Linked DNA regions of Oryzias latipes. The protein of the gene in region 1 purifies or fractionates together with the protein of each later gene. This does not show direct contact. Links are inferred from orthologs where the notes say so. Each region holds a gene or a part of one and is shown on either strand. Other genes may lie near its edges.

What was found.
Region 2: the proteins of mtmr4 (region 1) and dnajc10 purify together in Homo sapiens (affinity purification with mass spectrometry; 3 studies listed by BioGRID and IntAct, counting the BioPlex papers as one, with this or other methods). This does not show direct contact. The link is inferred for Oryzias latipes from reciprocal best matches to the Homo sapiens genes MTMR4 and DNAJC10.

The regions. Positions count from the first base shown.
Region 1 is NC_019872.2:20,553,675-20,558,133, forward strand, and holds the start of mtmr4 (myotubularin-related protein 4), read left to right. Parts: upstream 1-1,613; 5' UTR 1,614-1,628; coding exon 1,629-1,682; intron 1,683-4,459. UniProt on the Homo sapiens protein: Lipid phosphatase that specifically dephosphorylates the D-3 position of phosphatidylinositol 3-phosphate and phosphatidylinositol 3,5-bisphosphate, generating phosphatidylinositol and phosphatidylinositol 5-phosphate.
Region 2 is NC_019879.2:12,097,520-12,101,335, reverse strand, and holds part of dnajc10 (dnaJ homolog subfamily C member 10), read left to right. Parts: intron 1-205; coding exon 206-299; intron 300-401; coding exon 402-479; intron 480-644; coding exon 645-688; intron 689-1,180; coding exon 1,181-1,246; intron 1,247-1,474; coding exon 1,475-1,540; intron 1,541-1,617; coding exon 1,618-1,707; intron 1,708-1,804; coding exon 1,805-1,915; intron 1,916-1,989; coding exon 1,990-2,104; intron 2,105-2,545; coding exon 2,546-2,673; intron 2,674-3,816. UniProt on the Homo sapiens protein: Endoplasmic reticulum disulfide reductase involved both in the correct folding of proteins and degradation of misfolded proteins.

The DNA.
Region 1 (4,459 bases):
AGTAGAAACGTCATAACACACTTTGATGGTGGGACTGTGTAACCAGATCTTCTGGTCTTTGGAGACATGTCTTTGAGTCTTCCGCCTGCCTGTAGTAATCTGTCCAGGAGTTTTGAGGCTGCTTCAGCTGCAGTCATGTCAGCTGGTGTGTTCCAGCCTTTCTTTAGTGGTGTCAGAGTACACGTCTGGCACGTTCCTGCGCATACGCTAGCAGGACCACACATGTGCAGGGTTTTTGCTCCAATTTGACCTCATTCATTCAGAGCTCTCCCTGAAAATGTCTGCTGGAAGGGGTTTGACGTGTGTTTCTAAAATCAAATATTACATTAGAGGCTGTGTATTTTTTTAATCAATTCTTTCTATCATTGTGAATGCTGTACTTTGATTTTTTTTATAGCTTTTTTACAGTGTCATACACACCCCTAAACCACCTACGCTCATCTGAAGGTGGTGTGTTTTTATTTTGATAGGATCCATTCTTGGCACGGCCGAGTCCAGTCGACAGGAGGAGAAGGAGGGATCTGAAGAGGAGCGCCCCGAGTCACTCCTTAAAGCACTGGCTGGCAGCATGGTAAGCCAACTCCACTACTAGTGGGGATTGTAAATGTTAATGTTTATTTTGCTGTAGATTGCAGTTTTTATCTGGTTAAGAGCTGAAGGGGCACGAGCATTTCAGGTCATGTGATAAGAGCGCTTTTCAGGTCTTTGTGTGTTGAACCAGAGGCTTTGTTATGGAAACGCCCAATGAGTAAAACGGCAAGTTTGGGTTTTTTTTCCCAGAAAATGTTGCTGCAAGTTTAAACTCGACTCAAAGTCTTGGAGACGAGTTTGAATTTCAAAACTATATTGATGTTGTTCAAGGGAATACAGTTCAATTTTATTAGTTTCAATTAGAACATCGGATTTGATCATACAGTAACTTATTATAAAATATTATCCTTTTTGGTTGTATTCTCCTGTTATTGTGTCCACAGTTCCCATAACTTCAAACATCTCCATCACAGAAACATTTATTTCTTCTCATTTATTGACGCGATTAGAATTTTTGAACTTGTTCATCTTTGATCTTCTCTGCTTTGTGCTTATAGTCCCACTCCAATCATCTTTTGATCTATTTCCATAGTATTCTCACTAGTCTTTTAATTATACCGTTTAAAAATAAAAAATAAAAACCTGTGTGCTTTGTTAGAAATTAGCCTCTGAGTTGTGGGTGAGACTCTTGGCACGAAACCCCCACCCCCACCCGTTGCTGAGAGCTCACAGTTTACATGATGTCCCACTAGCTTACAGCCCCTCACACCCCCCAACCAGTCATTAGCGGTGCGACAAAAATGGCACACAAGCTAAAGTCCTTCATGTGTTCATTCTATATGAACTGAATCCTGTCTGTGATGTCATCTAACGCTAAGAGTGGGAGGTCTGTCAGTAGTCTGAACTGCTACTTGTAGGATAGATGACCAAGATTATCAAGACGTTACACAAAAGATTCTATGAAACTACACAAAAACAAGAAAATCAACTTCTTTTATTGCAGAATTTTTTTTGAGCAATTCCTCATTCTGAGCAGGAAGGCAGCAGCAGTCATTATCTCACGTATTCTTTTCTCAGCAGGGCTGCACATTTGTTGCATGTGGCTGCAGATTCCCACATGTTTCTGCATCAGAGGAAGTTCTGGGCTGCAGGTAACAGATGTTGCACCGCTGATGTGGCTCCCTGCCCCGTGTCTGGGCTCCATGGTGACCTTGACAAAACTCAGAGCTTGTGACATTTATTTAATCCCACTCTAAATTCCTAAAGAAAAAGGAGTACTTGTTTCTAATCATCTTGTCATTGTTGTAAAAGAATGAATACAGAATGGAAAAATCTTTGTTTCACCCTGTAGTGGGCGCTATTGTTATTTAGCCTACCTGATTGTATTATTCACCAAATATGTGAAAGGTGAGATTCATAGAGATTCATGTCAGGTTTGTTTGTATAACAAGTTAAATTCTTGGCATTCATAAAAATGTATTAGATATATGAAATATAAAATAAAAAAAAGACTAATAAAATAATAAATTCTGCCTTCAGAAAGGTGGAAGAAACTGTGATGACATTGGTGGCAGATTCCTTTTGGACAGAGCTTTTCTGAGGCAGAAGCAGGAAGTGCAGCAGGAGGTCGAGTGTCCCAGGGATCTGGTCAGCTGTGTCCACAGAATGTCACCATGGCTGGCTGCCCGGCTCTCAGCCTTTTTGTGGGAGCTTAATTGATCGCAGAGCTGATTAACAAATAATGTGGCCGCCGGTGCAGGCAAAATGACTGCCTTCCTGTGTAGAAGAAAAAAAAAAATGGAATCTGGGTTCAGTTCTTCCCTCATTGTGTAGCACTTTGCTGTGGCTGGAGTTACAATCCTCATGTGTAATCACACCTGAATAGCCGTGGCAGGTGTGCCAAACACACCCAGAGTTCTTCAGTCACAGGAAATCATTCAGTCTTAAGCTGCAGGCGGTTGGACAGCTGTAGAATAAAACTGCATCAGCTCTTAGTTTGTTAATGATTGACAGTGGGAGGCTTTCAAAATAAAGGTTCCATTCTTATGTAGTGCAGTGATGTTGAGTTGATTCAGTTTAGTAAGAAAAATGGTTTGATTTTATCTTGGCCTTATATTAAAGACAGAACGTGAGGATTTGATGCTTTTGTTTGTTCGTTTCTTGTTGTCGGACATGAGGCATGTGATCACAGCCACTGTGCATTGTAGTGCACTTATTTGAAAGGCGTTTCAGAGTTATTGTCCCAGCGACAAACCCTGATGGGTGTTTGTGTGGCTGCACAACTTCATCTCATTTAGTTCCATAAGAGTTCAATGGTCTGGACGAATGGTTCATTTCTGTTGTTGTGTGAACTGACTCTTCAGTCAGCAGGAGAGCTCAGTGAAAGTGAAGCTCTCTGGTTAATTTAAGGTTGCAGTCAGTGCGGTGTGGATATAAAAAGAATATTTGCTTTTCTGTCACCTGTTTTGTTTGAAGTCTTACTTGTAAGATTTTGTGTTTCAAACAGTTGATTTAAAACAATCCTCTCCAACTCCAATAGTGCAACATTCTGCAGCAGCAAACACTAATGAACTATTATTTAAGCGACAAAACGGTAATTTAAAAATGACCAAAGGAACACATTTGAAGATTATTTTTAAGCATTCATGTCTTATTTCTGTCTTTTTTTCTGCAGTTTATCCGAATGTCAACATGTAGGTTAACATCGCTGACTCGCTGGCCTATTTACCTAAAATAAAACCAAGACACAAGCGGACGATTCTGGTTCTCAGTTTCAAACTGGACCCTGCATCACCTTACAGTATTCTTCAAAACTCATTAGGAAAACAAAGATATATGGTTATTAATAGATTTGGATAAAAAGTCATGCCCCCTCACCCTCCGCGGGTGGTTTCTCACCCAAGCCCGGGTCCTCTATCAGAGGCCTTGGAGCTTGAGATCGCTTCTAAAGTAGATAAAAATATCATTAGAGTAGGACTTTACAATCCTTCAGAAGAAATTGCCTGTTTTCTATTTTTTGCTTCTAGGAATTCAATTCGGCTCAATCCATCTGTTGTAAATCATTACAAGAAAACGTTAACCAAGAAAAGACTTCAATGATTTGTTTTCACTTTCTATTTCACAGAAAAGAGGAAAAAAAAGATTTAGAGGAATTACAGGAGTGTGCCGCTCTGTTTAGGGCTGTATTGTTTTGAGGACAAAGTCTCTTTCCATTTTGTCTCATGAGTTTAATTGTCCCTCTGACTGTAGATTCAGCAGGATGTAAAGCAGCTTGTGCACACGCCTCACCTTGGTCTATAAACTAAGTATCAAAGATAAACCTTGATTCAATGATGACAGTTGTAATGAATGACAATACTTCAAGAAATCAAGATTGTTCAGCGATGGGCTTCATTTTTCTGTGCTTTTCAGTGAGACGAATTACCTTTTTCTTCCTGCACAGTAAACTATGAAACATGGTCTATCTCCTTTATTTTTTACTGACTGTTTGCCCTGGAGCCATAAACCAACACACCTGTGCAAGTTTTGTTTTTTAAAAACACTTTTCAACTTGTTTTTGTACTTGTTTTTTTCCAGAGAAGTTCCGCTTTAAGGCTCCGGCAGGATTGAGCCGTTATCTCATCTGACTCTTTTGCGAAAGACTAGAAACAGCATTTGGAAACAGACGTTAACGTCTGAGGCTCAAGATCACCTCAGCAGATCTGTTTCAAAGGTGACGTTCAGGCGTTAGTATGTTTAATACAAGTTCATGCAGCCAGGCTTTCATTTCACTCATTTTATGGGTTTAGCATGTTTGGTCAATGCATACATTTTGAAGTCAGTTGTAGCTTATCAGTGAAAAAGCTTTAAGCTCCATACATCTAAGAGAAAATCAAGAGAAAAATACCACAACACCATGTTAAAAGTACCAAACACCCAATTAAGCTCC
Region 2 (3,816 bases), on another chromosome or scaffold:
TTTCACTCCGTCTCATGAACATTATATGGCATTTCCACCACTAGAAGCCCCATACTTTGGGTTTCTAAGGTGTTCCCGTCTTTCTCTTTGCCATGACTTAGAAGTCGTAGCCTGTAAACCACATTTTCCTCAAGTTTTGAACTGGATTTTGCAGCCACAGCGATGTTCTGTCGTAAATTATCAATAACTACTTTTGCTTCTGCAGAGACCAGAGAAGTTTAATGGAGAGCGCACCAGAGACGATCTGGTTGGTTTTGCCATGCAGTTCATCACCACCACCGTCACTCAGCTCTGGCAGGGTGAGATACGACTGTGACCCTTACAACCTCAGCTGAGATCCACTTTTTAAAAATCTTTTTCTTTGTAATGAAGTGTTTGTGACTAGATCTTCACCTTTTCAGGGAACGTCTTCACTGAGATTGAGAAGTCGTTTTTGTCAGGGCTGGGCTGGCTGATCACCTTCTGCTCTGACACAGGAGGTAAACATCAGTCTGCCACAAACTCTTCACAGCTCCCAGTGGAAAGTTTAGCGTCTGTGCTCACCTGGTGTCATGAGACACACGTTTACCATATAGTTGTTGTTTTTAAAATTTTTTAATGTCATTTTAATGTTTTTTTGTGTTCCTCATGTGTTTGTCTCTAAGATTGTCTGGAGCCAAGAACAAGACAGAAGCTGGCAGGAATGCTGGTGAGAATTCTTCCCATCCAGTTTAGTTGAAAGAACGCAATTCCAAATTGATCCAGATGATTCCAGTGCAGCCAAACTATTAGAACTCTAATGATGGCCTATGTTAACAACCAACAGATTAAATGAAAGCATTTTGGGAGGCTACTGGGCATCTATAAGGAGAAACTCGCTCTAAATGGATGAATAGAGACAAGCCTACAGCAGAACCAGACTCAGTAGAGCAGCCAGTTGCTATAAGGAACCAGTTGAGGTCAAAGAGCAAGAACTGGAATAAAACACCAAGGCCTTAGAACAACACTTGCCTCATTTTTCTTCTGCTAGTTTACAACATTAAGTCAAAGACGGTCTTGATGCGCAGAGAAGCATGTGTCCTCAATCTGTGTATTATCTTTAGATAAGTGGCAGAGAGTCTGAAAACATCAGGATTCTTTAGACAGTGGTTAAGAAACTGATCTTATCTGATTAATTTGATCCATGTGTGTCTGCATGAAGGAAGGTCTGGTGAAGATGGGATGGATAGACTGCACCGTACAGCCACAGCTCTGTGACAGTTTCCAGGTAACTGTCAAAAACTTGTTTCCTTTCAGGAATATTTGATTGTTTAGAGCTCTGTTTATGCTCTGCTTAAAGGTCAAATAAACCACATCATCATCTGCAAACTGCTTCTTTGCTTTGACATCAGATTTCTCTCATTTGTCCCATTAATTGTTCTGCTTGTTGATAAGTTTCATATTGTGTTGGTGCATTGTGCAGTGCTGGTATTTAACATTAATCCTCCTCCTTGAGGTGGTGAGTGGAGCGACAGCCTTTTTCCCCCCTGGAAGCTCTCTGGATAAAGAAGGCAGTGTACTGGTAAGACCTGAACCAGTGAAGTACTGCAGAAGTGTATTTTCTATCGCTGCAGCTCTGCCTCTGTTTATGTGCTTCAGTGGATCAAGACTCTCGACAGTAAAGAGATCTACAACCAGGTCCTAAACCATCTACCAGATCTGAAGCTGCTGACTGCAGAGAGTTTTGAGGTACTCAAAAAAAAACGAAATCTCTCAGATTACCACTGCTTTAGCACACGTGTCTAGGTTAGCTTAAAAATACATGTTTAAATATGTTCATGTGCAGGAGAAACTGGCCCATCACCGCTGGCTAATCAGCTTCACATTTAGAGACAGAAGTTCCACCACAAATGAGTACAAGAAGCTCCAAGCGTTTCTGCGAAATGACCACATACAGGTACCTTCAGTCCGTCTGTCCCACTCCACGTTTTTGGCTGTTTTCCTGCTAACAGACTGTTTTTCTGTGTCCAGATCGGCAGAGTGGACTGTGTCGCCGACTCAGAGTTGTGTCATTCTCTCTACATCCACAAACCCTGTGTGGCTGTTTTCAAAGGTCTGGGGATCCACGACTTTGAGATCCACCATGGTCAGTACTGGATCTTCTCTGTCTTGCATCTGTCTACGCTTCACCTGCCGGATCTTTTTATTCCTGCAGAATTAAAGTTCCACTCCGATCCTCTTTTGATCTATTTACAAAGCATTCCCGGGAACATTAGCATGGACTAAGCCTACTCCCACTTCCTGTCTAGGTCTAGTTTACAGCCCCTCACACCCCCAACCTAACATTACTGGTGCCGCAAAAATGACGAGCAATATTGGAGCTATCTAGTTTAGTACCAGATTCCAGCTCAGACGAGGAAAACAAAGACGTTCGTGGATCTGTTTGTCTGCAAGTGGATGCATCAGAATGGAGTGGAGCACGGAGCCCAGCATATTTTCTACGATAGTTCAACGCTCATCTGTACCTTTGCCCTCTCTGCCTGTTTTTGTGACGTGTGTATTTTTGTGACATTGTGTCTTCTTGCAGGTAAAGATGTGTTGTACAACATCGCAGCCTTTGCAAAGGACAGCGTTCGTGCCCATGTGACGACCCTGAGGCCGGACAACTTCCCCTCTGACAGGAAGGAACCCTGGCTGGTGGATTTCTTTGCTCCGGTTTGTACTTTTTTGGTTCAGCATGGAAATAATTTTATTCTCCTTGAAAAATTGTGCCTTAAATGATTGATTATATTTTATAAAATGTTCTTATCATGCGAAGACATCCAGTATTTTAATACAGTCAAGTTAAAGACCACTTTATTTGATTTATAGAAAGGAACAGCTTTTCTGAAGGTGAACCTGAGAAGTCATTAGTTGCCAGCAGCTCCACAGACCATACATGCTCACTTATTGACAGCATCACCACAGGGATCTTCAGTAGCCTCCTTTGACTGGACCTTTGCCGTGTTGAGATGTTTTACCCTTGTGTGGAAAAACTGGCTCCCGAGGCTGCCGTATATATATATTTTTTAATCTAAAGAAAAAATGTCTAAATACAAAAAGGTCTTTAGTTGAGAAAAAATAACTTAACTAGTGTTGGCATGACCAGATCTGATAATCAAACATTAGTTCTGTGGGACCCATCTTTGCGCTTTCAAGTGGCTAAAATCTGTTCATTCATTCTTTTGGGTGGTTTTGGTTTAACTGTTTACATTCCCTGTTTGCTTCCACATAAGGTGATAGAGAGCAGCAGAGGGACCAAAGGCACCATGAAACCTGCTTTTTAAAGGATACATAGGGACTATTTGGAATTACAAAAAAAGTTTTCAACACCAGGCTATTTATATGTTTTGTTTTTGCTTTAAAATCTGAAGCTTTAACATGGGAGTCAATGGAGAATTGCTCCTTTCTGACACCAGCCTTCAGTGGTCTTGGGAGGAACTGCAGGATTTGGTCCTTCCTGCTTTGTATCTGGTTTGAGAACAAAAGTGGGAGTTTCACTCTGTAGTTCCACTCCGATCATCTTTTGATTTATTTTCAAAGTGTTCCCCTTACAACCCCACGCAAACATTAGCGGTAGAACAAAAATGGTGAGCAATATCAGAGCTATCCATCCGTGCAGTTTAGATCCAGATTCCAGCTCAGAGGAGGAAAACAAAGACGTACATGGATCTATTTGTCTAAAAGTGGATGCATCAGAAAGGAGCAGAGCAGGGAGCTCCATCAGTCGTATTTTCTACGTAACAAATACAATATTTTTCAAACAGTATTTTGTTGTCTGCTCCTGATTTACAACAATTTGAATAAAGAATCATTCCA